3 linked regions of the Lytechinus pictus genome follow. The main gene of each other region encodes a partner of the protein of the gene in region 2 in a complex. Links are inferred from orthologs where the notes say so. Each region holds a gene or a part of one and is shown on either strand. Other genes may lie near its edges. The genes, in order: vacuolar protein sorting-associated protein 8 homolog, vacuolar protein sorting-associated protein 33A-like and vam6/Vps39-like protein.

Evidence for each region.
Region 1: vacuolar protein sorting-associated protein 33A-like (region 2) and vacuolar protein sorting-associated protein 8 homolog share a complex: the UniProt entries of both Drosophila melanogaster proteins name them as parts of the class C core vacuole/endosome tethering (CORVET) complex. The link is inferred for Lytechinus pictus from reciprocal best matches to the Drosophila melanogaster genes car and Vps8.
Region 3: vacuolar protein sorting-associated protein 33A-like (region 2) and vam6/Vps39-like protein share a complex: the UniProt entries of both Drosophila melanogaster proteins name them as parts of the homotypic fusion and vacuole protein sorting (HOPS) complex. The link is inferred for Lytechinus pictus from reciprocal best matches to the Drosophila melanogaster genes car and Vps39.

Annotation. Positions count from the first base shown.
Region 1 is NC_087245.1:17,278,526-17,285,799, reverse strand, and holds the start of vacuolar protein sorting-associated protein 8 homolog, read left to right. Parts: upstream 1-4,179; 5' UTR 4,180-4,541; intron 4,542-7,274. UniProt on the Drosophila melanogaster protein: Part of the class C core vacuole/endosome tethering (CORVET) complex involved in endo-lysosomal vesicle trafficking and lysosome biogenesis by facilitating docking and fusion of endosomal vesicles.
Region 2 is NC_087246.1:16,839,501-16,847,232, reverse strand, and holds the start of vacuolar protein sorting-associated protein 33A-like, read left to right. Parts: upstream 1-4,731; 5' UTR 4,732-4,942; coding exon 4,943-5,092; intron 5,093-6,077; coding exon 6,078-6,143; intron 6,144-6,588; coding exon 6,589-6,828; intron 6,829-7,732. UniProt on the Drosophila melanogaster protein: Core component of the class C core vacuole/endosome tethering (CORVET) and the homotypic fusion and vacuole protein sorting (HOPS) tethering complexes involved in endo-lysosomal vesicle trafficking and lysosome biogenesis.
Region 3 is NC_087251.1:20,216,073-20,223,984, forward strand, and holds the start of vam6/Vps39-like protein, read right to left. Parts: upstream 3,090-7,912; 5' UTR 2,950-3,089; coding exon 2,877-2,949; intron 2,302-2,876; coding exon 2,236-2,301; intron 1-2,235. UniProt on the Drosophila melanogaster protein: Part of the homotypic fusion and vacuole protein sorting (HOPS) tethering complex involved in endo-lysosomal vesicle trafficking and lysosome biogenesis.

The sequences.
Region 1 (7,274 bases), on a different chromosome or scaffold from region 2:
CATAATGAAGGGGCTTACACATTGAAATTTTTTTTGCTGGAATTATTGAGGTCCTAAGATCCTCAGAAGTAATCAACTACAATTCATACAATCTGCTATACTTTTCAAGCAATGTAAAATATGGACCTATTTTGTGACTCGTGTGATACATTTTTAGGGTGTTTTCAATCTTCAAGTTTGTGTAGCTCATCATATATAAATGTAAAAACAAACTTGATATTGTAGAATGAGTGTAAAATAAGACTTAATGCAAAATAATGAGGTATCTACACACTATAGAACGTTGTTTTAATACTCGGTAAAAAATTATCTTAATAAGTATTTAACACTTAATGTATACAGTGCGTATCAAAAAAAAAATTTCACTTTGAAAAAGCCCTGGGAATTAAAAAATACATGTGGGTAATTTTTTCACATATATTCTTGGGTTTGGGTCTCATCTATCCAATGAAAGTAAAAGATTTGACAGAATATTACACTTGAGTGAGTACTGTCCATTTTTGTAAATCTGTTTGCGCAGAAAAGCTCGTTTTCACACTGTGTCGAGGGGAAAAGGCGAAATCAAACTTACCCTGTGAAACATTTTTCATACATTTCCCTTGCACTTTTAGTCAATTGAAATAAAACGGATACATTCAAGCATTTTGTAACAATTTTGCCACTCAATTTAAAATTTTAACAAATTAATAAGCACAACCTTTACCCTTTTTGTGCCAGCTGGATCTGAGGACATAATTGAATCTAAACAAATGTTTATATCAGACATCTCCAGCATTTTTTCACGTTTTTCAAGTTTTTATTATTTAAAGTGGGTTTACATTTCATTTTTCATTTAATTCTTGTTTCTTCACACTTTTCCCAAGCTTGACAATGATTAACAAAATGAAAATCAAGCCTAAGCCATTTCATGTAAATCACAGCTCAGTGTAAATATCGTCACGATGGCCTCGGTGTGTGGGGGAGTGGGGGGGGGCGCAATGGCACTCTTCGAAGTGTTTTGGGTAAGAAAACAAGTTTAAAAAGGTAAAAAGATATCTTCAAATCAATGTTACTAGCTAAATGTCATGTGTTCTTCATTATTAAGGTCTACTGTTATTCGCATAACTATTTCAAAGTTCTGCGCAAATCATTTTTCACTAACTTTTCAAAAGTAAGTGGTGCTCACCCAAGCGGAAATATTTTTCGACAGTTATATCGTCATTTGCTTAAATGGATCTGTACCCATGTTAACATGTGGAAAAATCTTCAGGATATTACAAATGTATAATTTTACAGGATTTTGTCTCAGTGTAAACTTTTTTTGATACGCACTGTATAAGTAGAATTTATTATTTGAAATTATTTCTCGATTTTTAGGTAGCTTTAACTTGAATTTTAATTCAATTGAATTACTTGATTTATTTGGGTTCATATACATTTATCAAATTTCATGTATCCTTGCTTCGATTAAGTAAATCTAACTCCAATTAGGAAAAGGTGATTATTTCTTCTAAAATCATGATCAGTGTACTTATATTTTTTAATTAACGCCTTATTTAAATAATATTTAATATTCATTGAGATCAAGTAAATGTTAGCATTTCTAAATAAATTTCATATTTTTTTGTGTTTGAAATTGTTCTGTATTAGGGTGTGCAAAATATTTTATTCTTTTGTTTCATCAAAGAAAGAGCACCATTACATAGTCACTCATCAGAAAATTTCAGATGTCTTTTTAGGTTTTCGAAAAATGTATATATTATTCTCACTGTTTTATTTGTAGTTAGGATGAACCGGTCGCGTAATGAATATAAATGTCAGTACCTATCATTTACAGGTAAGTGACAATGTATAAAGTCTAATATTTGGATAAATAAGAGATGTCTAAGATGAAAATGATGCCACTGAAAGCGGGACGATGGGGGAGCGGACTTTCGAATCACGAAAGTCCACTTCCCCATTTTTATTTTCAGTGATTGTGTTACTTTAATAATTAATAAAAAAAACCGCGACGCAGATCAAATAAAAAAAAAGTAAATGTATTGAAAATGCCCGCCAAATAAAACACCTGGGAGGGCTTTGTCGAAAATTGGTGAACAGGAACAGCAGTTTAGCCCTCATTTTCAGAGTGGACGAACAATTGCAAAATGTCGTTTGTGCAAAGTGTAGGGCGATCTGCTGATTTGATTATTAATCTTCGACAAAGAGTTTTTAGTTGTTTTTTTGTCATTAAATCCATTTGACAATACATTTCCATTGAACTTGAAAGCGTTCTGCGTCTCAGTTCGGAAACTTCCTACTTTTTTATCTATTCACATCTTTCTCTATCTTTCTCCAGCCGCCCTTGGATGTTTCTCTCTCTCTCTCCCTCACACACACACACACACACACACACACCCTCACACACACACACACACACACTTTCTTCCTCTCTTGCTTTCTTTCCCCGTCTTATTATTATATTTACTCTTCCTTATTTATATTAAAAGGGGAAAAGAAGGGAAACTGAACGCTAGTTTTTAGAACTGAATCATTTTCGTATAACTTCTTACCTACTATGCCAGCTCCTGACCCTCCTCGTCATCCAATACTATAGTTCAATAATATTCCAACTGTAAGCTATTTCCAGCTACTTCCCTAAACCATGAAATAAAAATAAGAGCTATAGAAATTATTATAGCAATTATTAATATGGTATTAAAGGTACATGAGAAATAAATTCTATATAGCTATAGATGTTGGGTGATCAAAATGCCAAGATTGAAAAGAGCACGATAACCTAACTTTGAAATCATGTTTTCTTTATCATTGTAATAAAAGGGTATAGAGTTACACAACTCTCATCACGTTGCATTTTTATTTTTCTCCCTCTTCTAGCTGTTTTTCTCGTCTCCTTCCCCTTTTTTCTTCACTTTACGAAATAGTTACGTGCACACTAAGAAAAAAAATCGAGTTTGCACCCCTAGTTACAATAACAGCACCCTTTATTACACTGTAAAAATGATGTGCTAATTTGGCACTTACAGTGCTTGTATAGTGACTGCACTACGAGTGCCGATTTTCTAGTTTATAAATTTGAACAAGAAAATCAGCACTCGTAGTGCAGTCACTAAATTAGCACTTCATTTTTTACAGTGTAGGCCATAGGGTGTAAGTTTGCACACTAAAGGGTGTAAAGTGTGTGCACTTGCACCCAATAGGGTGCATATACTGTAAAAAAAAATATTGGTTAAAATTTTACCACCACGAGGGTAATTATGTGTTCAACCAATTTGAGGCAGTATCTTACCCAACGCAGGAAGCATGTTGTCCAGTAAGGTTAAAAAAAACAAGCAGCAATAACTTTAGAATGGGCAAAATTTTCATCACACTGGATATTAATAAAAATGCCCAAAACTTTTGAGAAATGCCAAATGTCGGTTGGACGCAATGATGCTCTGTGGCCAAGTTCTCTTTCAGTCTGCTGCTCTCCCTCTCCCCTCTCTCTCAGTTCCTCTATCTGTCTATTGCCTTCCTCTTTCTCGTAGTGTCTTTGGAAAATGATTTTTTGTTTTTGATCGACATCACGCGTTCGTCCATCTCACATCGCTATTTTTACCATTTAGATGACCATGTCGTCGGTGATCAATCGAACCGTCGCACATGCAGGTACGACATTTCAAACCCATTTCAGAGAAATTTTACTTCAAAGTTTGTTAAAATTCCAACAGTTTGAGTGATTTATGATTTAGTTATACAACCCCCACGTCACATACCCAATATGTCCAAAGCTATCAATACCAAGGAGCGTTCAGCGGTGCCCATGCACCCCCCAAATAAAATGGAAGTTTCAATGTCGAATATTCCTTGCAGACACATATAAATCATTTTGTGAGGGCTGAACGAGGTCACTTTATAATTAAAACATTACAAAATCATAGGATATTGTATAACATAACGAGTACAAGGGGATGATTGTGCGAATGGTGCTGTAAACAGAAATAGGTCTACACTCTAAAAATATATAGTTGGGCAAAAATGTCCAACTTGTAACCAACTTTGGGCAACATACAACTGTCCACACAACTATTGTTAAAAATCTGTCCAAATTGGGTAATAAAAACTTACATAATTGGGTAATGAATTTGTTTAGTTGGATATAAATATATATATTTCTACCAACATACATTATCCAACACAGTGGACAGTATGTTGCCCAACATTCTAAGTGCGTATGGTGAGAGAGGAAAGACAAAACATGAGCTAGACAGGAGAGACAAAATTGCTAGGGGGATATTTCAGAACCTATCAGTTAATGAAACTTGATAATCTAAATTATTTCATCTGTGCCTTGTAGAAATTAAGTAAATTTATTTCGAACAATAAATATGGATTTTTTTGTGGGGGGGATATTAAAAATTATTAAAAAATGACCCGCGCGGCATAAAATGCATGCAGGCTCTATAGCCTAGCTAGGCCGGCAGGAGCTTCGATTGTGGGGCGTAGTCCAGACTCTGCTGCTGTTGTCTGCCGGTTAGCCAAATTTGGACTGATTCTGAGGTCGAGTCTGAGCTGAATTACTTGTAAGTACTGGTATTAAGGATTTTTTTAAAAAGAAGTCTGTGTTGAGTTTTGCTCATAGTTTATGCAAACGTTGTCCACTTTTCAAGGTTTACTTTAATTCATAAAATAGACCAAGGCAAGTGTCCCGAGGAGCAAAATCCAGTCTGCTATGCCCCACCTATTGACTTTGACGTGTGTTGTTGTTTTGTCAGTCGTTTTTTTTCTTTCAATCATGTCTTTCTTTAGTCTCTTCACTTTAAGTGTAGACCAAAAGCTTCAGTCTCTGTATGATTGGGGGACCTAAAGCTACGCACTTTGTTTTCAAACTATAAAAACTATGCCAATTTTAATATTTGAACAAATCATCTTCAAGTTTCACTAGGCCTACCTAATTTTGTAAAATATAGACGTCACTAGACACTAGGCCTAGTTCTAAGTTAGATCTATTATATTCTATAATTCTAAAGATCCTTAACCAAGAAGAAAGTGTTACAAAACTCACTAATAGCATTACGAAAATCCCGCCGTGTTTCGCCGCCCGATTTAGAAGGGGTCCTAAAAAGTTACGCTCTCGATTTATTATGCAAAGAAGTAGTATTTACTGTTCCGAAATTTCTAAAATATGTCTGTGTTATTAATTTAAAGGAAAAAAAGAAATTAGAGTGAATATAGAGCAAAGTGCCCAAATATTGGACACTTAAGCATTATTGGACTAAAACAAAAATACAATTGTTGCATCAAATATAAATCATGTTTATTTCCGTAGTACAAATGTTGAATATTAATGTCATTAAAGAATAGAAATGAAAAAATTATTATGCTAAACAGAAATTATTTACTTACTACCAGAAGTTTGTTTTTTTGCCCAAAATCGGATGCCGTCTCCAAATATTGGACGAGTAGAGTTGTTGGCCGCAATCAATTTCGGCGATTTAAATCGTGCTGTAGACCCCAAAATAATTCAGATTCAGATATTTTCATTGTCCAATTGCAATCATGATTTATAAATGGAAATTCAATTTGTTCGCACAAAATAATTTAGAATATCACATGATACACACAAAAGATTACACGATGAATAAAGTATATATTATACAAATCAATAAGCAAAGATAAGAGAAATTAAGATAAAGGCAGGAACGGGGGGGGGGGGGGGATAACATAATTTCAAGTATGGCTATTAAATTGCTGACTTGTTGATAAAATGATTTATTTTAGCTGCGCAAATGCCAATTTTGATTATTACTATAAATAACTTTGATATAGAATTCGGTAAATAATGATAATTTACTTACCCAACGGACCTCTTTCGGCTCTTTGCTCAGCTGCACGCGACTTCGTTCTTGAAACCTGCGCGCGCGTTAACAGCACGCATTTCCAATTCAATCGGCCGATATGTCCGATGTTTGAGATAGTGCCATATTTCTTCTTTGCAGATTTTTTTGCGATAGATCGAACATGTGCGATCTCGCAGCGGCGATGTTTCTGACGAAAGTCACTTCTCCCTTACGAGATTTTTTTGGTCATCGATCTTTTGGAGTCCATAATTAGCGAGGGTCGTAAGAATCTCTGGAAGTCAAAATTATGGATTTTACCGCTGGATTTAACCCCTGGAATTTTTTTTTTTGAGCAGCAACTTGGATCTACTGTGTGTGCAGCTCAATAGCATGTATGTTCATGTATTCTTATGCATGCAAGTCCCCTGCCAGTTCGGGTCCCTGTAGTTACAGTGAAGGGAGTTCAAGTCATTTTTGGAACCGTCCGATGTTTGAGGGTTTTACTCCACCTCCAAAATTCCAAAAAATTGTTGGTTTTCTCTGCATTCAAGGATTTATTGCAGCCTCTGAAAGCACTCTGTAGAAATATTGAATAGGGATCGTTCGTCACTCTATACAGTCACAGCTTAAGCTTCACACACAGAGCTAGAGTGAGCATTTATTTGCCATTGAAATTGCATGCGCAATGGAGTAGTGCGTAGCTTTAGAACCCCCTACCATACAACTGATTGTTCCACTGACTTTCGCTGGCTATACTCACCAGTTGATCTTCATACTTTGTAGACTGAATTCTCGTACAATTGTACATGTAGGCCTAGGCCCATGCAGACTCGACATAAATCCGCTGTTTCGGAGGAGTTTTTCAACATTTTTTTTCCTCCTACACAGACGGATGGATGATGGCCATTGCACTCGTAATGGTGGAGTTTCAACGACGCCTTAACTACAACGACTATGGAGAAAAGGGTTCACTTTTGCAACCTCCTCGATTACTCCTAAATTTTGCTTTAATTTTAACAAGGGAAAAGAGGAAGAAATAAAATAAATTTATATTGAATACAATCAGCTTACCACTGCCCACCTTTTTGAAAAATATGCTGGAAAATTTGATGACAAACACATCAGGATCAGGGGATTAGCTGGCACGTTTGTATGCTCACCTGTAGCTGCGCTGATGGTGATCGAGCGATCATAGAAGAACCTTGCTGATCCTGATCTGTTCGTCATCAGAATTCGCTATTTTCCATCATATTTTTCAGAAAGGTGGTAAGCTGAATGTATTTAATATAAATCTATCTTTATTTCTTCTCCTTTTCCCCGTCAAAAAGCAAAATTTAGGAGGATGCGTCAGCACACCCTTTTCTTCATAAACGCTGTACATGTAGTTAAGGCATCGGTGGAGCTCCACCACTTCGAGCCCAATGGCCCTCATCATTCTATTGACGGAGGGGATGCCGTGGAGCCAGACGAAGTCTC
Region 2 (7,732 bases):
AATATATTCTTTATCATATTCTCCCAAGTAAAAGATAAAGAATGCTGGATAAGGCATGAAAAAAATGTTATACAAAACAAGAACGGACAAACTTGAAAAAAGTCAAGAAACGAGTAAAAGAAAACAAACAAAAAACAAATCTCCACAGGTATAGATCAAATTAAAAGAGCCAGAGACGGAAAAGAAGCGAAATGAAGGGAGGAGGGGGGGGGGGGGGGATACGGAAGAATAGAAGATATCCTCAAGATATCCTAAGTAGAATGAATAATTTGAGTGTACGGTTATTAGTGCATGAGGTTATATTCTAATGCTCTATTGAAGCTATATTGTATGCTTATTTCGTAAAGCTAGTGAAAGTGAGTTCCAAAGTTTGATGCCAGCAGAAGATAATTATGAACAGTTTGTTTGTTAATAATGTCCTTGTTCTAGGTAAATGGAAAAGTCCAGCAGATCTTGTATAGGTTAGGGATGGATATTGATATTCCTTGTAAACATAGAATAAATACATCTGGTATAGTTCATCTCTACTAAGGTTGTATATCCAAGATTATAATGGTAAAGATCATGTATCTTATATTAAGAATACCATGAGTTTTGAAAAGAACATTCGTGTGTGCCCGATAATGAGAATGGCAAATAACGCGCAAAGCTTTTTCTGGAGTAGTAAAAGTCTATATATTCAAATGAAAATCAACACAAACACCCCATGCAATAATACAAATTCTATGTTACACAATATTATCTGCGTAAATACGTTCGGTTTGTTAAATCATTGTGTCGTCTGTTTTTAAAAGGTAAACATCCTGTAAATTACGATTTTTCTTTGTGAAATTTTAGTATTTTTAACAGTGTACAGCAGGGGCGGATCAAGGATTTTCCAAAATGGGGGGGGGGGGGCACATTTTTCCGAGGAAAAATTTGACAAGCAAAAAAAAGGGGGGGGGGTTAAAAAAAAGTGATATTTAAAAAAAGTATTCACTTTCAAAGGGGGGGGGCACACTTCTGTTTTAATGGCATCAGTTTTACATTACAAAACTTAGTTTTGCTTCTCAAAAGGGGGGCACGGGCCGGCTGTGCCCCCCCCCCCTGGATCCGCCAGTGGTGTACAGTATCATACACAATAAATTAAATTCAAGGGCACGTGCTTGAATTTGTTCATTGGAAATGAATGTGCATTTTTCGCACCAATCAGCATCGCCAAGATTAAATCGGTGGTTTCAATTGCAGTACTGAATTTAGTTTCCTTAGAACATTATTACAACTTTTGCGACAACATGCAAAAGTCTAGATTTTAACCTTGGCCCACTGAACAGATATATATTTTGACACTCAGTCCAGGGGCTTTCTAGACCTTTCATAAACATGCTAATGTCAACGTACACTGTGATGTTGCTGGCGCAATATAAGTTTTGTGATGACTGTCATACCAGGTCAAAGTATATAGGCCTATATTTACATCCCATTGGCTCAACAATGTGTTTTTTCCAATTGCCAACATTTCGCGACTGACGAAATTGTTGACTTTGTACTGATGTTGGCCCAACAATACCTTTGCGACATCGTTGGTCCAATATGTTGACACTTTGCCAACCTTTCCCTATTGTCAACATTGTGATGTTGGACGGATATCAATTTTGCGATATGGGCGATATCATAATTACGTAAAAATAAAAAAGGAGATTGTTAGCATGTTTTTTTTCTTGCAATGTAACAAGGGCAATGTTTTGGGGAAAAAAGTAAAAAATACTTCTTGCTAAATTTTCGTTTGCAGATTATATAGGCCTATTTTCTAGTATTGATATCAGTTGAAAAAAAGAAAAAGGATATAGATATTATTTTGAATTATTATTTGCTTTTTATAAAAGTTTTGTTGGAAATGAATCCAAGTGAAAAATAACAATTAAAAGACTAATTAACATTTTTTTTTCACCTGTTATGTTGAAAACTTGCTATACGTCCAGTGTATCCCCGCGGCAGATTTCACCGGGAAAACGAGAAAAGGGAGCGAGAAAGAAAGGGAAAAGGAAAGGGGAAGGAACGGAGGAAAAGGAAAAGGGAAAAGGTGAATAGAAAAAAAACATTAAAAATGGAAAACGGAAGGGAAGCGGGAAAAGGAACGAAAGAAAAACATGTGAGAAAAAACAAATCATTCCGAAATAGGCCTATTATACATTAGCATGATTACTTAGAACGGAAAATAAATTAAAAGATGATCCAAATAGCAAACAAAGGCGGGAAATTAATTTATACCCGATGGAATGAGCCAAGAGCTAATTTGGATAACGAAAAAACTCAAGGGACAAGAAAAAAAAAAAAGAACGTAATAACACGACCGGGCTGCCGAGGATTAAAAATAATTAGTAGCAGGGGGTAGAGGAAGGAAGGGATGGACTACAATTAAACTTGCTAAATTTTATGCAATAATGGTCGCAATCAGGACAAAAATGTCCCTATAGCCAAATGCTTGAAATCCTCATGTTATTATTTCGTTATAATGCCCTATACCTATATAGGCAAGCTTTACGCTGGCAAGAGTTACCGTCAAAAAGTCTTTCAAGTGTTTACTTTGGCTAAATGTCCAAAGCTACCGGGGGCTCTGCCCCATATACCCCAAGCAGTATATAGGGGCTCTTCATCTGTAACCTTCAAAGGGCTCCGGAACGACCCTGTATGGCCTCCTTCCTACATTAAACTTTTACTGGCGTGCAGGGGGGATCTTGCTTCCACACAGAAGGGGGAATAAAAAAAAATAGAAGGCAACGCAATGAAATGAATGGAAAACAATGAAATATGTTATTTGCTGAATTTAATGTAAAAATCTATCAAATAATTCATTAGAATTTCATTTCAAAAGGCCATTTTCGGGCTCGCTTCGCTCGATTTTCCCACATTACTATCTTGTGACCCCTCAAAATATTTGTCTCATTGCGCAACTGCGTTGAATTTTGTGTAAAAGATATATACTGTATGTATCTGCGATTCGATTAAAATTCTGTAAGGTTTAAAATGGCTTTGATATCAAGAGGTTCCGGTGGCTCTGCATGCGCTTCTCCCACTCGCATAGCACAGGCGGTTTGGCCATGGCCCCCAAAAGTTCTACAACCCGAACAAAAACAAAAAAAACAAAAAAAAGAAAAGGAGGAAAGAAAAGCAAAGGAAAAGTGCAAGATATGATGTTGGAGCCTATTTACTGAATATAATGTCAGAAATGTCTCAAAGTTATATTCTCATGAAAATGTTTATTTTTTTCTCGCTGGCTTCGCTCGCTCTGGACTTGTATTACGCAGCTTTTTGGCTCATGCGCCATAATACTGCAGTGCACCTCTTTTTTTGTTTTTATACTCTTCACGCTATACCGCCGCCCGCATGTATAGATCTTCGCGCACAATCATTAAAAAAAAAAGAATCCTGTTCACAGTGGCGTATCCAGACAAAAAAATTAACAAGGAAAGAAAAGGAAAGAGAGAAGGGTGAAAAATGATATCATTTTCTGAATATTATGTCAAAATCTGTCACAAAATGTGACTTTCTGCTCGCTCGCAACTTTGTTTTTTGAATAAATTCTGCCGGGTACGCCATGTCTGGTCCTCTCAAATATTTTGCCTCGTTACAACACTGCCTGTTCATATCATGATTATGACCGGCAAATTTTTGGCTCTTGCCCCACCCCCCCCCCCCCCGGCCATCGACCCCTGTTACGCCCCTGATCAATATAGAAAACCGTGTATCTCTCTCCAGAAATGGAGGCAAATATTAAAGATTGATGCACATGTACTACTTTGAAATGAAATGAATAAAGGAGACCAGTTATGGTTGTTTTACAAACAAAAAAATAGGTAAATATATTTACTGTAGTGGCCCAACGCTGAAAATTTCATCAAAATTGAGAAAGTTATGACATTTTAAAGTTTCGCTTAATTTCACAAAACAGTCATAAAATGCAGATCCTGGTCGGTATGCGAATGAGGACACTGATGACGTCATCCACTCATATTTCTTTTGTATCTTATTATATGAAATTTTCTCCTAATTGTCAAGTGAAACACGATTAATTCCCCCATAAACATGTGCAATTCATTATCATTGTTTAACGCTATACATGTGTGGTTCAGTCAAGTTGGTCCCTTATTGTCATACTTATCTGTAAAAAATGAAATATTGTATAATTCAAACAAGTACAATAAAACAAAAGAAATAGTGAGTGAGGGTCTCATTTGCATATCACTGTGTTGTGCATTTCAGTGTTTTGTGAAAAATAACAGAGCCAAACTGAAATGTCAGTCATTTGCGATTTTGATGAAATTTAAGCGTTATGCTAGTTTGATTTTTCTATATTTATTCAAATCAACATTTTCTGGGGTGGACTTGACCTTTCACTATATGAAGATGAAAGAGGCACTCGAGTGAAAAAGTTAGTAAGCCGGGTGCACTGTTTTTCTAATAGGGGCATTTTTTAGTGCTTCAGCCGCCCGTGGATTAAAACTAATTTGTAACAGCTAGGGGTATCAATAAATTTTAATTCTTCAGTATGGACTTGCATGCCGAGATATCAGTTGGAAAATTTTCAAGGAATATTTTTTTGATATTGTAAAATAATTCAAATTTTATCGGTCATTTAACAATGGTTGAATTTTAAAGATATTTCTAATATTTCCATTTTCTTTTTTATTCTCTTTTAACCTTGTTTCTTTAATTTCTCCTAATCTCTTCCCTTTCCTCCGTATATTTTTATTTTTGTTTTGTAGGCCGACGGGAGTGGGGACGTGCCTAGTTATGCAATTGCCTGCGCGCTGCGTATGAAATCAACCACTCTCTTGAACTAAATCTGTTTGGCCTTTTTTAGCTACGTACATGTGGTCTCCGATCCGCCCGCCCGCCGCGCCGCCGCGCCCCGGTAGCTAGAGCTAGCTCGGCCTCCGCGGTCTTTCTTGCACAAATTTATATGCAGCAACGGTTCATTTTGTATGCATATATCCACGAAGAAAAAAAAATGGCCACACATCTTGTCAGTGGACGTGTGAATTTAGCCTTTTGGAGAGAAGTTGCCAGAAGAGAACTCTTAGATTGTTTGGACAAATGCATAGGGAGTAAGGTGAGTTTGATTGATGTACTGCTTAACTTAGATTAGAATTCGTTTACAACAAATTTACAAATTTACAAATTTAACGAGTAGGCCTAGGCCTAGGTCTAACTTTAATTACGTTCCACGACTCTGACGAGCCTGTTGTGTGACTGGGGCATATGATTACGGGAAAGGGGGGGGGGGGGGGGGTGGACTTGAGGGGGGTGGACTTGGGTGTGTCAGACTCTGTTGTAATTGTATTGAACATGTTGAACTGGATATCGGTTCAGCTCAGCTATACATTATTAGGCCTGGGGGGTTAACAAGACAAAAAAAAAACGACGGGCCGGCTCTTCGATTTTTGTCTTTATTTCATAAAAATATAGGCCTATATTATAGAACTGGACCAAAATGAAGATTAATATTCAGTTTTGGCCTTAAATACACACACAAAAAAAAACTTTTTAAAGGGGGGAAAAAGTGACTTACTTCAGTCTATAATTTGTGAGTGGAGCCAACAGAGTTCAGCAGAACAACCAATAAAACTGAGACCAAAGCTTTTGGTCTAAGTTAGGGGTGATTGTAAATTTACACCTTTTTTGTTTTATGCAGGCCAGTTACGTTGCCAGTCGTTGGTATCTAAATCTAATGTTTTACAGGAATAACGTCGTTTCTGGGGATTTATTAAAACAATTTTGTAACAAAAATGTGACATTTATGTAAAAAAAAAAACAAGTCCTCAAAACAAAAGAATTGTGATATTTAATATTTAATAAAAGAAATAAATAAGCATGATACTGATTATTTTTTTTAATTGGTCCTAAAAAATTATTAAATTGAATATTCAAATCAATTCAATTCAAATTTGACAAAATATTCATCAAATGAAAGTTACAATCAAAATTTCACTTGGGATTTTTTTTTATTGTTAGCACAACAGGTCACTAGTCATACATAACTTTTGTTTATGAACCATATTACCGTATTCTTCTGTCGATCATCATTTTACATGCAGGCAGTGGTCTGGGATGATTTTCTTACGGGACCTATTGGGCTCATCGCTGAATATTCCTTGTTAAAGGTAGGTTGTCTACAGCTGTATAATGATCGATGAAGGTGTTATTGCTCTTGCACTACAACATTAGTTGTGGGAGGTCAAGCTGACAAGAAGACAGTCTTGATGAAGAAGAAATAGAATAAAATAAAAAAAGAGGTATTTGAAAATAATGTTCTATCTCTGAATACCGTTAACACTGGTATCTATGCAGTGCCATTGTACCTTCCATCTAACATTGAAGACGAGTTCACTTGGACACACAAAAATACCATTAAAAAAATAACTTTCTTCCTTTGTCATTGTATGGTAGTAGGGTAGCATATAGGCCATAGCTTGTACATTGAATAAAGTTTGAGCTGTTCAGAAAGTCTCATTTGTCTAGTTTATAGATACTATGTCAAAGAAATTATAACAAATTTACATCATTTTTGTCATGTAAGTAGTGCCAAATTCATATCTCTTCATTTAGGAACATGAAGTTGACCGTATGTTCCCCCTTCGACATGGTCATCTGCCTTTGAAGAGTTCGTCCAGTGGTGCAGGTGGTACTATCCAGAATGTTATATTCATTGTGCGCCCTCGATTGGACCTGATGACAATTGTTGCAGACAATATCCGCAAGGCGGAGGAAACCCCTGGACGCTTCCGCAAAGAGTTCCACATTTTCTTTGTGCCAAGGAAGAGTCTTCTCTGTGAGAGAAAGTTGACGGTAAGTTCCCTAACATTGAAACAGCTTAAAACTCAGGGATTTTATGGTCATGGAGAGACCTGTATCGGCCGCACAGAAACGCTGTTAGCGTAACATTGCACTAAGAAAGGGACCTGTTACAACTGGTAATTTCGTCGCGATGGCTAATGTCAAAGTAATGCATTATTTACATCTGGGATCAATGCTTGACATCACAATCTGTATATCATTATTCATTAACAAATCAGCTACTAACAACATGGGTAGAATGACCGCACAGTCAGAAGGCACATAAAGCACTGTTAAGGCACCGTTAGGCACAAGTGTTGTTAGGGGATTTGAGTTAGGCAAAATCTATAATTTGTGCGTAGCGATCTAGATTTAACTTAAGATTTAGTTATGATTATTTGCACATCCTACGAGTTTAAAATCTTGTCTAGGAAAGGGTAAAGGAATGTAATTAATTGTTATATAGGCCTAAAAAATTTCCTTATTATTACATTTTAAACATGAAATGACAGCAAGTATATATTTACTAATTTAATTTTTAAAATATTGAAAAGGATTTAAAAGATCAAGAAAATTAGCCTATCATGATATTACGATGGAGATTCTGTACAAAAAAAAATGCAATCCCACTTATCATCAGTTTATTTGTTTGAAAATGCTCTTCACAGACTTCACTTATCATGCTCATGATAGAGTATTTGCCAGTGAGGATTATCATATGATAAATTTCATCAGCTATTGTTCTTCTTTCTAATGTAGGGTCTATTCTTAAAAATGTCTTCAATAAAAATATCTTGGAAGAAAAAAATATTGATGAAAAGGATCATATCTTGGCACTAATCAACATCTCCCGCTGTATACCCATACTTATAGGGGTACTCCAGGCTGAAGAAAATAATACGGTTTGAACAGTAAA
Region 3 (7,912 bases), on a different chromosome or scaffold from region 2:
AAAGTACTAGTGAAAGGAGTTCATTGCTTGCATATCGCGGGAAGTTATTCAAAAGCGCGGGCCGTTGAAACTCCAAGATCCGAAAGTGCGCATGCCCGGAATATCGGGCTTGTTGCCTCGCTCGAGCAGATATAGCTCCTCGTGGGATGGTGCAGACGGGGTTTCTTGAATCTCGAGATTAATCGCGAAGAGGGCTGATCGGGCTAAAATCTCGAGATTGAGCAAACTCGGGATGGTGCAGCACCGCCTACCATGACTACACATATAATTCATTTGAGATTATGAATGCCATCATAAATAGATAACTGATCATAATTTTGAGACAAGATGCTTTTTTTTTCCGAAAAAGTCTAATTCATTAAAAAAATTCAATCATAGTGACTTCAGAGCATATCAGTTGTGATTTAAAAACAGGGGCCCGTAACACAAAGCTTTAATAGCAATCATCATAGAACATTTTTTACGATTGATTGCATTTACTACAATACAATGTACAATCAATCGTAAAAATCATGTGTACGATTGATCGCTAACCGTTATGTTACGGGACCCTGATTAGCCCTTTACTTCAAATATGTGACTAACCTTGCACCAAATTCATATGCAATGTAGTTTATATCCATATTTTTTACATAAAAAATTGGGTACATAAAGTTCAAAACTTTTACTGATTTGTGATTTTATTGCCAAAGTTGGATCGCAGCAGATTGCACTGTAAGGCAGGCTTCATTGTAAACAATTTACAATAATTGTGAACAATGTCTACAATTAAGCCTGTCTCACGCAGACTTTAGTAACTTGTGTTCAGAAATATAATATACATGTAATTCCACTTCTACTGTACAGTATGCTTCATCACATCATCTACTCATGATGGATAATGCCGCATTACTTACATGTACAAATGTTCAATACAATCAAATTCATATCTGTTTCATAGAGTGTACTCTATATGGAATCATTTATCAATTATGTGGAAGCACCTGCACAATTTGTAAGCTATCATAGCTTCACAAACACAGGTATTCAATAATATCACCTTCAAAAGACTGCTCGCACATGTCCCTAACTTTTTTTTGAAACTAGAGCCTAGTGTGAACACAGACCTACATGTAGTCAGCTGGGTAACTGCACAGCTGACACCTAAATCCTGAATCAGTCACATGAATATGACTTACATCAAACACTTGGGAGATTACTTTCACTGCCTATGAAGTGTCATACTCTGAACAACACACAACATGAGGACCATATTATGTACATGTCAGTGCTCTAGACCATACAGTAATAAATACTCTTAATACAAACAAGTGCGTATATACTTTGTATATAGCACACAAATTTGAAACAGAATTTATACCAGTATTTCAATTGGGATCAACTTACAGTACAACCATGTGACTTTCAGTACATTAACCTATTTTTAAACTTGTCTGATTTTGAAAAATTAACTATAGATAGATGACCCATAAAATAATTTTGAATGACCTAACAAAAGTGTAAAATTATGCAAACGATGCAAGTTAAGATTTGATTTAGCAATCAAAAGAATCAAAGGAAAAGATGTACATGTATAAACAAATTAATAAAACAAATTAAAAATAAAACATATTAAACATCTTATCAAGGTATTGCCCTGCATCTGATGTACTGTAGCTGTAACAAAGTGTGTTTCTGGTGATTTTAGTTTTTGTTAGATATTTCCAAGCCACAAACATGACCACAAAACCAGTTTGAATAAACAATTCAGCTACATTCAAGAGGAAATATTGAGGTCATTAAATAAAAGAAGTTATATACTGAAATCAGACCAATGCCTTACAATGTATCTTAATAAAAACAACCAACAGTTTTCTGTTTTCTTTTCTTTTAATGGCCATCAAACAACTTGCGATTGGACTGCAACCCAATTTTGGAATAAAACAAAGTAAAACTTGATGCAAATATTGATACACAGAACATCTTGCTGTTTAAAATATGCTACCATCCCTAATATTAGAAAAACGTCATAGCAAAGTTTCTATGACTGGCTATGATTTTAAACCAATTTGGCCTTTACTACAAAATACAGGCCTACAATCATCCATAATTGTTTTTTGCGGTTAATATGAAACTTAAATAAAACTAAACTTTTTATTCACTTTTTCAGAAAATAAGCAAAATGCAATTTGTTCCAAAATCTATTGATAATATACAATATTATTTACAAAGTCATTCCAATGATGGACTACTTACATTGCCCTCCTGTGATGCTGTATACCAGAAGGTGTCCTGGTTTTGTTCCCACAAGCAATTGATCTCCTGCAAATGAATGAAAGATAATCATAAATTCTTACAAAATACAGCACATCCATTATGGTGCTATTGCAACTAAGCCATGGAAATAATCCAGCTTAAAACATCCATATGTACACTGCATCATAAAACTGATTTTTATTCTTACAATAAAAAACCAAATGCTAATAATTTTACTGCTACATGTAAATCTACTTTGAAAGCGACAAATTTCATGAGCTCGATATCTGAAAATTGTGATTTTTATGCAGCTGATTTTCAAATCATGTTACAATATTCAATGCACACTGGATTCCAAGTATATGACTTTAATATTAATTACTAAAAGGTCAAAGGAATGCCTCTTTATTTGGCTCACTGGGTGAAAAGTTTTTAGTCCGTTTCGATTCACTAACCCTTGACAAAAACTTCATCATGAAGGGCATTTAGTTCTGCATGCGAAAATTCCTTATTATTCACCAGAGGTGATCAGAGGCATCAGGTCATTAACCTCAACCCATTACAAAAGGAAGGATGGGAAATAAATACTAAGATGCAGACCTACTTGTGGCCTGCAAAACTTGTGCAAAACATAGACTTACCATGGCAGGCTATTGATTCTATAGGTAGAGGAAGCTTCTCCAAGATAGGACGTGCCTCATAAGCATCATGCATGGTGGATCAGAGAGTAATCTTGGCAGCTAGAAGATCACTCTGTGTTGTTCCTGGTTCTTGATTAATTTAACATGTTGCAGGTATGCCCACTGACTCCGACATGTTATCTGTGAACAGTTAAGATCAAATCTTTAAAACATCAATTAAAAATCAAATTCCCCAAATACTCCAACTCACAACTGTTTTAAAGTTAGGGCAAAATTCTTAGCCATGTTGTATTTATGAGATACAGACTCTGCAGTTTTAAGAAAAGTTACTTAGCCAATTACCCTATATCTGTCACGCGAAAAAAAACTCTTAGCCAAATTCTAAGACAAAATTCTTAGCCAATTCTTTATGGAATACGCGTTTTGGCTAACAATTTTGTCTCAGACAGAAAATAAGACAAAATGCTTCAATTTTTTACCTAAGCATGCTTATCTCGTTAGTGGAATACGGGCCCTGGCCCTAATATGGTTTTCATTTTCGAATCATCACAGTCACATTACAGTACACTAGCACTTTCTGCTGTCTGCGCCTGATTAAAACCCTGAAGTTTAATAGAAATTGGCCTGTCTGCTGCAACTGATAGATGGCACACCGTGTCCACCAAATTTTTGAAGAAGGAATTGTTGAAGAAGGAGTGAAACTGACCCGGAAGTAAACCTTGATTTTGGGTCAGAATTGAGCAAGATGGCAGCTTCCTGTAGATATATACAAATACTAGTTTCCAGTTTAAAAAGTGTAATATTGATTTTTGCATAAATTTCAAAACACATATCATACAATTTAAATATTAAATTTTTTACCAGATCTACTGGAAAATGAATTTGATTCTGCAGACCTAATTATTCAATATTGACGAGCCACACTGTACTATGAAATTTGAAAAGCAATGAAAACTTTAAAAATTCTGGAAGCTCTTTTGTTTTAAGTTTTGACACATTCTCAGATCATTTTAATAGAGATTTGAAAAACAAACAAACATTGGTTCCGTAAATTGTTAAACACAATTTGTTATATCCATCGAATAAAGTTTTCAACTCCAAAATTCCATCTATCTAGAAGGCCTTATTTTTCCATAAAAAATTGTAGAATCTCTGCAATATTTCCAAAGCACACAGAGGCTTAGCCCGGATTTAAGAAACAGTATCACCAAAAAAATAGCTAAAATCAAGAAATCTGTGGTTTTGTTCCAAGTTTCATAGTTTTCTTGTGAATTTAGATTTGTATCTTCAAACAGAAAATAAAACAAACAAGGGAGAAAGTCAACCACATTGAACTCGTATTAAAATAATGTCAAGTGAAACGTCCGAGTTGCCTTCACTCAACATTGAATTTGAGCGTGATACAGATACGAATGGCTGTTGCGACTTCCGGGTTACATATTGCCTGCAGTGTGGTGCAATTCAGTGGCTCTAGCATGGATTGACGTTGAACGCATGATTTGTGACACATGTCCAATCATGGACCTATGAAGAGATGGACGATTAACACGAGCATTTCTTTGATCCAATGATAGTTACCGTCACCTGGTTATGTGCATCATAATAAGAACATACCTGTGTTGTGACAATAGCAATTACCATGACTACCAAGATGTATCTGATCACTTAAAGACGGATCAGTTTCCCAAGGTCTTACATGTAGTTTTGTTGGCTGATACCGTTTCAGCTTGTGCCTTTCAATCAACATGCTAATGTGGAGCAACAAACTTGAGAACAGACGATTTCTGTGATATGAAATATGATATCATTCTATCCAGACACTTCTGGACGCACGTAAGGACCTCAATAGCATTGAGAGATACATGATCTATACACGTTATGTGCCACATATATCTGGAATATTATGGAGAAATTTGAAATGATTAGCAATCAATGACAAGTGTGCCTAGTAATATGACAACATTTTCCCAAATAAAACACATGGAATTAAGATTACAAAAGGTAAACAAGAACTGCACATCGATTTTCCATGATTCAAGTGATTTGTTATCAACTGCGCATACAATCTGTGAAATATAAAGTTCCAATCACGAACTGCTTCAAGGCCATTCTCGCGGTAGCGATCATAGGACCAAAGTAGACAAGTATGAAGAGAATGTTATTCAGATGACAATAACAGTCACCTGTGAATTTATTATCTACCGTAAGCGATGAATTCCATCTTTTCATAGGTCCATGGTCAAATGAAGGATAGAATCTAGTCTGCAGGCACAGACCCTGATTGAAAGCCTATGGGACGCAGAAAAAGACAATTTTCAAATATTTTTTCAAGTTGAGAATTCTCTGAAAGAATTTCATTTGACAACTTGCAACTTAGTGTGATAAAAGTCACAACACTCTAGTATATCTAAGGCAAGTTTCATGTCATTCTAATTACAGACTCTAATTAAACAAATTAATGACATGTTACGTATGGGACATTTTGTCCCCATAGAGAACGAACGCAATTTTCTCCATAATTTTGAAAATTAGAATTTGAAATATGGAAATAACAAGAGTTTTTTCTTTTAAGATGTTCTGAGATATATTTGATCTGACTGAAAAGGAAATTAGCCATTTCAACATTTTTTTCATGTTTTCCATGGTTTCATGAATTTCTTGCATATTTCTATGGTTTTTATTTTTTCATATTTTTCCATTTTCACAATTATTTTTTTTTGCTTGAATTTTTTTTAATCAGTATTTATAACAAATCAGATTTTAGAAACTAAAGAAAAGGTAAATAAATCACTATTAAGAGCACTCTTGAAATATTTTTTTCTCCATTCACTTTGTACACAAAGCTCCCCATTGACATTGTGTGTAAATACATGTCACATACATGTACATTACGTAACAATTTTTTGATTAACTTTTAATTAAAAAGTAACCTACATTTTTGAAACTTTTTGTGGTATAATATTTTCATACTCAATAAAATAAAACTTCCCAGAGATGCATCATGCAAATATGTATTGTATTCTGAGAAATAACTTTAAAAATATCCTCAAAATTTTGGTATGGGACATTCCATCCTTAGACAAGAACCAATTTGCATATTCAATTAGATGACACCACTTTTGTCCCCCGAGAGTAATAAGATTTTAGGGGGTCCATGTCCCATCTATGACTAAATCTCACAAGTTTTGTTTTGATTTTCTATGATTTTTTATAATTGTCCCATACGTAACACCCATTTTACCAATTATGCAAATTAAGTGCCCCAAATTAGCATAAATTTGAATATTATAAACATTTTCTTAATGAACTTTTAAAATTCAACATTTGGGCTTTCTTACTCCATCAAAGATAACTTCTTAAAATAATGAAATTTTGTCTTCTAGGGTGACCCTTTCTTGGACTTGCCCATGTATATTTTGTCCTATCTACATGTAGCTAGGCAGAGCCTAGATCTTATCAGATATAGACATAATTTCGGGTTTAATCAACCTTGAAAGGCTATATCTAGTCTAGGTTCTATTTCTTTTGGAAAAATTAGAAAGTAAAAAAGGGGCCTAAGCTTTCGATCCTAGCAGAATCTTCGTCGGAGGCAAAATGACAAACATATAAAGTGGAACAACCATAATATAGACCACAAACAAGCTACAGCAACACTAGAAACAAGGAGACAAAAGAGGCATTAGTGAGTAGAGAAGACCAATCAGGTTAGTGAAGGGGATGAAAGAAAAGGAGTATAGGCAGACACAAAGGGAAGTTAGTGTAAGTAAGGCCAGTAAAAGACCTCAAGCCAAGAGGGATTAAAATAATGAGGCAGGCAACATCAAACAGGATCTGGAACAAAACAGTGATAATGGGATGAAAAACAAGAGAATTAGTGAGAGGTGGGTCAAACAGGTTACAAAGAAAGGCTTAATAAACTGGTGCATAAGAGTGGGGGGGAAAAAAGAAAAAGAGTGGGGGGAAAAAAAGAAAAAGAATGGGGAACAACTGATAATGTGCAAAAGACATATAAGTATATATGATAAAGCATTAAACAAACTAAGAGAAGAAGGTAAGTGTAAATATGTATCTATAAGTGATATGTATATAAATATATCCAAAAAAGAAATGTATATGAAAAAATATATAAATACACATATGGTGTAACTGATATTGTAATCCGCTAGGTGTGACGGGAAAAAAACATAAGACTATATAGTAGGAAAAAAAAAAAAAAAAAAAAAACCTGTATATGTGAAAAAGAGGAAGCAAATTGCCTAAAAAGGTAAAAGCAAATATAGAAGAGAGGGGGTGTATTATGAAGAAACCATAGTATACATGTAAATAAGCAAATGTGGTAAATCTAAAAGAGGTGAGTGGAGAAATAACAAATATATATATATATATAATAATAATAATTATTATATCGCCTGAATAAGGAAGGAAAAAATGGAGCTGAGCTTGTATGAGATATGGGAGGAAAGTAGAGTAAGAAACTATAATGTAACTATTCAAAAGAGCTGAGGGGAAAAATTATATGTATATATAAATTGAAAGTGGATAGGAAAGAAAAATCAGTCGTTCCCCTCTTGGATGTTCAGGCCATGAGGTTGGGTGGTGGAAAAAAAGTCAAAGGCCTAAATTTTTATAAAATCTGATTTGCTGAGCCTGAGTGTAACCAACAGAACACTCAATGTACATATACGTTACACTTACAGTCATACAGAGACTGCACTCAAGGGTTCATTACATGCCGCCGTGCACAGGAAAATCAAGGCTGAGCTGACCCTTCCACTTCTTTGGAGATTCCAGGAGTCCAGATGAAACACTTCCATGGGATTGCATAAAATTAGATACTTTGACGAAATCTAAAATCTAATCTAATTGTTCAATTACACTAATACCTTGGTCACATTTGCTCTACGGCGGCCGTACGGCGAGTCAAAAACAGCTGTTTTATTAATTTTAATTCAAATCACCTATATGCAGCTGGTACAAAAAATGTTAAAATGGCTGTTTTCAAGCTGGCATACGGCCGCCGTAGAGCAAATGTGACC